Linked DNA regions of Arabidopsis thaliana. The protein of the gene in region 2 interacts with the protein of the main gene of each other region in a pairwise test. Each region holds a gene or a part of one and is shown on either strand. Other genes may lie near its edges.

What was found.
Region 1: the proteins of BNQ2 (region 2) and AT3G06590 interact in binary tests that used the Arabidopsis thaliana proteins (3 or more experiments, as listed by UniProt).

Annotation. Positions count from the first base shown.
Region 1 is NC_003074.8:2,052,163-2,057,775, forward strand, and holds AT3G06590 (basic helix-loop-helix (bHLH) DNA-binding superfamily protein), read right to left. Parts: upstream 3,505-5,613; 5' UTR 3,151-3,504; coding exon 2,485-3,150; 3' UTR 2,481-2,484; exon of another isoform or gene 1,527-2,480; 3' UTR 917-1,526; exon of another isoform or gene 838-916; 3' UTR 585-837; downstream 1-584. UniProt on the Arabidopsis thaliana protein: bHLH transcription factor that binds DNA on specific sequence 5'-CANNTG-3' in target gene promoters. Negatively regulates brassinosteroid signaling.
Region 2 is NC_003076.8:4,920,557-4,924,596, reverse strand, and holds BNQ2 (BANQUO 2), read left to right. Parts: upstream 1-1,784; 5' UTR 1,785-2,043; coding exon 2,044-2,172; intron 2,173-2,954; coding exon 2,955-3,110; 3' UTR 3,111-3,354; downstream 3,355-4,040.

The DNA.
Region 1 (5,613 bases), on a different chromosome or scaffold from region 2:
TATTTGTTGGTGATTTTTTTTTTCTTTGGGTAGGTTTATATTTGATAAACATATTATTCCCAAAAATGATGTTATTGATTAAAAAACGTTTCCTAATTCTTCTAACACTCTATGAATTCAGATAACACTAGATTAGATAAGTGTCCTAGTTTGAATTTAAATTTAATCGTATTTTACGTGTGTGAGAGTTATATCCTATATGTAAAAACTAAAAGTAATTTGAGCTATAAGATAATACTGAATGGATAAATAGTAAAAGTTTTCCGGTTAACCGTTGTTTTTAATTCCTGCTTAATTAGATTGAGTAACAAATATGCAAGTGTTAACGTGTAGCAACATGGAGGTATTACATACAATGTAGATAAAACTATATCTGAAAAAGATATTGATTTATGTGTAAATTAAAAATAATAAAAAATTTCTAAAAGATGATTAGAGGAATAATATATTACATTGTATATATTAGCCATAGGGTTTAGGGTTCAACTAGATTTTTAAGGTTACTCTTATCGTTTATTTATTTATTAATGATATATATATATATATATATATATATATATATATATATATTTATTTATTCACACAATTTAATAAGCAAACGTCTAAGTTGAAACCCTAAATTAAAATATCATTTCTCAAATCACTATAAAATGGAGTCTCTCCCAGAAGAAGTGGTTGTGAAGGAGATCTTGCCACGCGTGGCTCTTTCTTCACTCAAGCTTGTTCAACTTCAGCCTCGTATGCAAATCATTACATAATCTCTGCAACGACCCTCAAGTTCTCGAACACGTCTGCCTCGACGAAATCAAAACCGCAAACGATGACCTATAACTAAAGCTAGAGTTTTCTCAAGAGATGCAGAGAGAGCGGAAACACGGAAGCAGTGGCTCGTGAAGGAATTGTGAAGTGCTTTTACCTATTCAGTAATATTGTTGATGAAGAGAAAGGGATCGAATGTTTGCAAAAGCCGCGTCTAAAGGACTCAAAGCTGCCTCATATCTCTGTGGAGTGATCTCTTTGTGTCGCGGTGGGAAAGTTCCGCAAAAGAGTATCGAGATTTTCAAGTCTTCTTTTGTCGTGAAATCTTCGGCACTGAAGACTAGGAGAAACCTCCAGGAGTATCTGCAATGGATGGTTTCCAAATATAAAAATCATTTTTTGGGAATTAGGCTCCTTGGTTATAACTGTGTTCGACATGGACATAATTTTATCTGGGCAAGTTTCTCTAATAGTGTGTTGGCGAGTTTTAATCCAATCTTCTACAATGTTGCGGTTTATTTTCTCTAATAGTTTGTCCCTTTTGGCAATAATAATATAACTTATGAAATATGTGATGAAAAGAGTTGTCGTGCAAGTTAATAAGAGAAGGCTTAAAAAGAAACAAGAGGACAAAGGCATGGCCACTCCCATGTGCCTCCTCATACTTTTAAGGTCACTTCTCTCTATGTTTTAAATATTTTTTGCTTTTGTCGTCACTTGTCTCTTGTTGTCGCCTAGTCATACTCCAGTGTTCTTAAATCATATCCCTATCACAGAAATTCGTATATTAATTAAGCTAATGAATCAAACTCCTGTTAAGTCAATTTTAACTACAGGTTATTCAGTTTTGCTTCGTGATGAATATTGAAGGATATACAGTACGTGCAGAACTGCAGATTAGTGTTTGAGAAAACTTATTTAGTAACAGGGAATTATTAGCTAATTTAATCTTTTTTCTTCTTTTTTTCCTTTATATTTCTTGTGAAATAAGGAAAAGAAAAGAAAAAGAAGACAAACAACCTATAAGTATCAAAAATGGGATTCAAAGGAGGGGCAATAAAGCGAGTAGATGATTGAGTGACAGATCAATCTCATCAGTCATCATTCAATTCAATGAATTTGAATGTATCATTCCATTCATTCTCTAATGCATCATCACATGCTACCATAATCAAAACTAAAGTTAACCCATTATCTTCCTACATCTACTATAATGTATTTTAAAATTCTAAATGGGAAATTATTTTCTTTCCACTTTATTGCAGTACAAATCTATTTCATGTTGAAATTTCATATAGTACATAAGATGATATAGTACAAAGCCATATTGAATGAACTAAAAGTACATCAAAAGTTCCATATTGGTTTAGTTATCACATACTATGAGGTTAAAAGAGGAACCCATTTTCCCACTAACTCCAATAACGAATTCATCAATCTTATTTTTTTTTTGATCAACAACGAATTCATCAATCTAAATCAAATAATCCAACTACGATTTGAACCCTAATGGTAAAGACTTTATTAATCAATCATATACTTAATTTAGACTTGAGGATCGTAAAAATGGGAAGACTCGGTTCAAAATTTACTTTTACTTGTAGCAGAGAAGAATCAGCGGTTGGGAAGAGTAGTTACAGATTATAATCAAACCGAATCTTCTATATACACATAAGCTGTGAAAGATCGAGAGATGGTAGAATTAAAAAGACGATTTTAACCTCATCAAATCGGTGGAGGAGCTGAGCCGTAGGAGGAGAGAAGCTGAACTAAAGAGTTCATGGCTCTCACTTGCATCTCCAGAGCCTGAATATAATCAGTTGCTTCTTCTAGAATCACCGGTACGGATTGTTTACCGCAACCGGGAACTAACCGGCCTAGAACACGTACTTTCCGGTTAACATCCGGTATACTCTTCTTATTCAATCTCAACACCGACACTCTCCGTTTTCTCGATCTGTTGCTGCTGCTACTAACCACCGTAGTCATGGCCGGAATCGCCATCGTAGCTCGAGGACGTCTCTGTTTACGAAATTTCAGTTTGATCCGATTAGCTAAGATCGCTCTGCTCCAGAGTGTTCTTCCCCGAGCGGAAACGGCAAGAGCTCGATCGGCGGCTTCACGGACGGCCTTTCCTCGTTTCTGAGCCGTTGGAGATGATGATGTTGAGGCGGAAGAGTTGAGGCGGACTTGTTGGAGCGCTTGGAACAGTTTGGCTGAGTAGATCCGTTGTTGCTTCTCCGATCGCCATCGCGCGTGAATCTCACCGGAGACGGAAGATGCGCTTGAACGAGACGATGCGGCGGATGAAGCAGAGGATCTCTTCTTTCTCCGAACGAGATCTGAAGTAGTACTCGTCGGCGGTTCAATATCTGAGATCAGAGACGCCATAACCAAATAATTGGCTCTGATCTCCGCAGTCGTATTGAAAGAGCTACAGAATCCGAATTTATCTGAAGTTGAGCGGAAGAAAGTTATGAAATTGTGGAGAATAATGGAAGGGAGAAGAAGAGGAAGATATATAAAGGGAGAGAGGTATCAACTATCACGAGACGTAGCAGTTAACAAACGGCCCCGTTTTAGATGTAGCAGTTAATAAGCGGCGTCGTTTTGTCAATTTGTTTTTTAGTATTTGTTGTTTTAGCCAGATACGAAAGTGGCATTTGTAATGCATGATAAAGAGAATTCGTGAATACCACCAAGAAACAAATAATTTCATTCTCAACACTAGTGGAATTGATAAGTTATAATTAACTGGCTCTATAACCTCTAATGGTTTTGGAATAATGAGAGACAGAGACATCATTGTGACTTGAAGCAATGTTTATGAATTATGATTATACTTAAAAAGTTTTGTTCCACGTTGATTAGTTCACAATTATTTTTTTAAACTTACCCTCTTGACAGAGATTTTAGAAAGAAATTTATATACAAAATTTCTTACAATCACGAGTTTTCGATCTTTTGTAGACATAATCTAAATAGAGAGTAAAATACATAATAGAAATGCTACAAAGATCCTAATGTGGGTAGAGCATCCATAACGATAGTTTCCAATCAATTTAGGGTACAATCTTAATTACTAAATTAGCTTATTGATATCTAAAGATGTTTACGAAAAGAGAAAACAAACAAACTTGTATAAAGGCCGATACTTTGGTGGAATGGAGGAGGAAGGTAGATTCAAACGAAAGGATGACGTGTCATATTACTATTGGAGAAATCCATTTACGACTTATAGTGGTCGTTTAATGGACTGACAGGGCAAAAAGAGAGGGGCCAAAAACTCAAAACTTTGGATTTTGTATTCAGTGCAATGATTTCGTAAATATTGGAATTGTATTTAAAATACTACTTTACGCATAAAGTAATATACCAAACGAAATGCATGTGCGATGTAGGGTTAGTGGCACTGCCTCTCTTTACGGCTTTTTTTTCTTTCCCTGTAAAGAAAAGATCACTGAAATTAACTCCTGTATTTTATCAAAAAAAAGTTTTGTATGTGTATCTATCAATATGTATGAATAAAATTTCATTAAATTTTGTGTATATGTATAAGTAGATATAAGATTAATAGATTGTTGGGTAAAGTATAAGGGAGTGGCGTCATTTTATTCATATATCCTGCTGAAAAAAGGAGCTTCTGAACTTCTCCATTGGGTTAATTCATATATAAATAAAGCTAGCTACGTTCAAACTAATTTTCTAGAAAAGTTACTGTTAGTTTGATTTTTGTTTGTACTGTTCACTATGTTGAGTTTGATCAGCAGTTAAAATGGAAAATACCTATCTTAGTTTATGTTAGACATAAAAGTACCACAATGGTATATATACTGTATTAAGATGTTTTTAGGCGGGTGGAAAGGATGTTAGAAACAGAGCGCAATGCGCAATGCTTCATAGATAATAGTATTCATTTAACCTAAGGGCTAAGGGTTAATAATTGTGTCAGTAACGTGGCATATTCTCTGTACCTTAGAAAGTTATAAGCTAGAATGATTCCACATGACAAATTAATGATAAGAAACAACATATCCAATTATTCACTAAAGTGTCACTTACAATAAAATAGTTTATCTACTTCGAATTTAAGAATATATTTTCGATTTAGATACTTAAATTTTCTCAATTTATACTTTAGAATCAAGCAGAAAATTTGTTGGTGAAGAACAAAGCAACCTAATGAATTATCTGTTTTACGAACTGAGTCAAAGAAACCACTATTCGAATCTGCGATTTGCGTAATTCTCATGGGCTCTACTTCAACAACAACAACAAAAAAAACATGTATCACAAAGGTTGCTGGCTGTAATTGTTATCTTCCATTAATAGAAATAAATATATTTCGGATTGGAAGTTCAAATTTGTTACTATGAAAATTTACTACTGTAAATCATAATTCCAGCTATCTAAGGTTTTCAAATTTATTTGCAAATCATTATGTATCTCGGATGTAATGAGTTTTTTCTTATTATATTAATGAAAAAAGTTGATAAGGAAAGGAAAACTAACTATTAAGTATGATGAAGGTGGCACAGAGATTGCCTCCCTAATTCTAGACACCAAATAAACTAAGTGAACGACAGACAATGGAAGAAGAAGGACTAGTTTCTTTTTAAAGGAAGAAAAAGGGAAGTATTGATTAGATTAACAGATGATGATGCTCAATCATTGTTTTTTCAACGGGTCTATTTTGGATTGCTAATATGAAATGATTAATAGTCTTTTGGTAAATTTAACATCAACTTAACAACACTTTTCAGAGGCAAATATGAAAACACTAACCTGTGTAGTTTTTTCTTTTTTCAAATGATATTTCCAACTTCTATGTGTTTCGCTTCATCAGAAGTAGTT
Region 2 (4,040 bases):
CTTTGAAAATTGTTATCTCACTACCGTAGTAAAACGATGGAGATAAGAAAAGCGAGAGGTCATGTGGGAGAGGGCGTGAAGGATGGGGATGCTCCCTGATTAGAGGGGGGAAAGAGTGTCCTATCATCACATGGGAGGTTAAACTGGTTCTTATTTATAACTTCAAAATATTAAAACATAAATAGTCCCACCTTTGTGTGCTCATCAGCAAACATTTTTCTTTAATGTCCAATTTATCACACCATCTCCTTGTTTTCTAATACATATCATACATCTACTAATCATCATTCATTCATATCTTTTGCATATATCATCATCTTCATCATCATCATCACGTGTTTAGATCTAGCAAATGGTTTGTTGTTATTTATGACCAAAACAACATTACCATGTAGTATTTATATAAATCCTAAATAAAAATTGAAACTCACTGATACAATTAAAATTAAAGTATTTGTACAAAATTACATATTGACGAATGTTAGTTGGAAATCACCTGTCTAAGTTTTTTAGAACAAGTGCTCAAAGATATTGGGTTCGACAATTGATGAAATTCCACTTAGGCATTACATATAAATAAATATCGTAAGCATATACACTATCAATTGAGGTACACGTGATCGAGCTTGGACTAAAAGTGTAAGACTAGCCCCTCCCTATTGGCTAGGATAGATACCGTACGTTCCCTCAAATTGACCTAAGTCCATTGTTTTTGTTTACCCGTATCTATATAACTGAACCACAAAATCTTCTTGGTTTTACGCATCACAACGATCATAAAATAATGATATACTCATATAGGTATATCTTGAGTATATAGACAAGCTTTACACTAGCTTGTATAATAAGATAAATAGAGTGGTGATATTTTAATGTTGCATTGTTTCAGTACTTGAAATCAGAATCGTTTCCCACTTGAAAAATTAGTTTCTCTTTGATCATAGCATATCTAACAAGACATATTAGTCGAGCTTTTGGATAGTTGTCGTTTGGTCTTAAAAAATAATGATACATTCTCACAAACTCTCACCGTACCTCAAGGCTCAAGCAAAGCTAGGACATGCTATTAAGGAACTGTAACTACTATAGCTGATTATCACAAAGTCTCACCTCAATATATATAAAGATTTTAATGACTAGAATAATTATAAGTTTTGAGATAAATTATCAATGTATCCAAGTGAAAGTATTGTTTGGTATTTTCTGTCAATCTAGATATTCATTTGCGAATTCCTAATTGACGAAAAATAACAGATATTATAATGTTACTAATTAACAAAAAATAAATCTTTGAAAAGATTTACATCATTGAAATACTACAATATTAAAAATATAATAGCATTATAATATCGACAATACTTATAATACTCATATAATAATATAATAAGAAGATTTTAAATGTACATAATACAAATTATTGCAAAAAGATTTCCAGTAATAGATACTAAGTTCTACTAAAGTTTTTGAAACTTTTTAGGAAAAGCAAGATTTTGTTGGAGACTTTGGATTAATGTAATTTTCAAAAGAGAAGAAGATGGTTTTTTTTTTTCTGAATATAAGAAAATAGAAGATATATATCTATCTTCGGTGTATTTATTGTTGATAAATATGCTGTCTTTTTTTAAAGTAAATAGATAAAAGTTAGACAGACTTTTTTTTTGTCTTATGTATCTTTTTCTCTAGTTTTTTATAAATCAACTTTAAATTAATCATCAAATAATAGTAATATTAGACACATATATACATCACGATCTGATAAATTTGTAAATTCACGTGTCATGTATCCAAGACTCCAATTCTAAACCACTGTTCTCTCTTGTGCACTTGTCATCGGCATATCCAACACCCCTATTTAAGATTATTTGTATTACTCTCGCTCTCTCTCTCTCTCTCTATCTAGAAGTGGTCCTAGCTCTCTATATAACACCATTTCTTCTCCTTCTTTCTTCTCCCTTTCTTTCGACAAGCACAAACAAAGCCATCAAGAGAAGAAAGCCTTTTCTTGGATTCACATATATATAAGAATATTTTTTCAAATCAAACATGTCTTCTAGCAGAAGGTCGAGACAAGCAAGCTCATCATCAAGAATTAGCGATGACCAGATCACTGATCTCATCTCAAAGCTCCGACAGTCCATTCCGGAGATTCGCCAGAACCGTCGTTCCAACACGGTAAATCTTTTCAAAAGTTACTGTGTTTCTTCTATGTACCAAGGTTTTGGCATAGTCACATAAGTTTTACTTTGATGATATTTATTTAGGGTTAGCTATTATGTTTAATAGAGAATCACGCATATACAAGTATACAACATGTTAGAATAGTGCATTATAGTCATAGAAGTACGTGTGGGAGACTGCATTTTGAAGTTTCTAAAATTACTTTTGACCATTAACCGGACTTTGAGGAGAGGGGAACATATTTTCCCTAACTTCAGCATTAAGCTTCTAGTTAATTTTACTTTTATTATTGATTAACTACATTGAATGTGAGACGACTATATTGCTTCACGGACCATCAATTCAATACATTTATGTACAGCACCGACTAATTTTTATATTTGGTTTTCTTAGTTTCTATATAACAAGAAAAGTACGAACTCTAGAAAAATAAGAAAAAGCTGGTTTCTATAAATGGAAGCATCGTTTTCTTATAGTACACACAACCAATCAGATTTGTTCTCAATTTCAAAACAATGTGTTGGTTAAGTTATGAGCATTTTTATTTTTTTGATAAAGTATGGGCATTTTATCTTAAGCTTTAGGTTTAACTTTTAACCTATGCATAGTGTAGTATGTCAAGCAACTAGCGTCAATATATTTTCTTACATTATTAACACGCATCATAACTTCAAGCTAAGACTTGTTTCTGTTGTTGTTAAAGCAAGCTAAGACTTGTTTGAATATTTATATTGAATCCTTACTATAAAATGTACAATTGTGAAAATTGTTTGTAGGTATCAGCGTCGAAAGTGTTACAAGAGACTTGCAACTACATAAGAAACTTGAACAAGGAAGCCGATGACCTCAGTGATCGATTGACTCAGCTTCTGGAATCCATTGATCCTAATAGCCCACAAGCCGCAGTTATTAGGAGCTTGATTAATGGATAATTAAGATATAAATTGATTAGTTGTGCTTTATATATATAAGCTTAAAATCTCGTTGGGAGGTTGATCCATCAGGGTGTTGCATAATTATATATCTATTTTATGTTTCTTATATATTATTTACAATCCTATCTAGTTAGGGTTCATATTTTGACCCTTTTTTGGTTTAACGTCATGCATGCAATTCCATTAAGCTTAAAAATTATAATAAATAAGATTTCGAGTAATTATTTAATTTAAATCCTTTTATATTATATTGTAAGTGTGTCCATTTGTATGTGTGTTAATGCGTTATACAAATGGATATACTATATAAGTATATATGGCACCCAAGAGGTTAATTAATTTCAAAGTTAATTTAGACTTATCTTCGAAATAGATAGAAAAGTTGATTAATACTATCATTTAAAGCGTACATGATTATCAATTTTGCATGAAAACGTAATAGGATGACTCAAACCTACCAGACTCACATAAAAAATAATATCTCAACCATTATACCACTATACATTGTTACAAATTACAAACTACAGAATGAAACAAAATCTATATTTATTAGCTTCTCACATATTAAAAAAAATAAAAAATCCAACAAATGTTTTTGAAAACAGACCCATCGTGCATTATATTTGATAATAAAGATAACATTTACACTAGTTTGCTATAAAATTTAGTATTTAATTACCTACAATAATTTTACATATATATATATATATATATCTGTATAAAATTCCCTAAAATATTTGAAGGTTTAGAAAACAGGTATATGAAGTTTAAACATGCGTATCATACAATCTAGTTAGTGTAAGTATTTACAGTCAAAATGTATGAACCCCGCGATGAAAAGTAAGATGAGTGAGCAGTTTTTAGAAAACTCTTCGGCTGATATATCACACGAATCTTGCTTATTAATGTTGCAAGAAGGACACAATA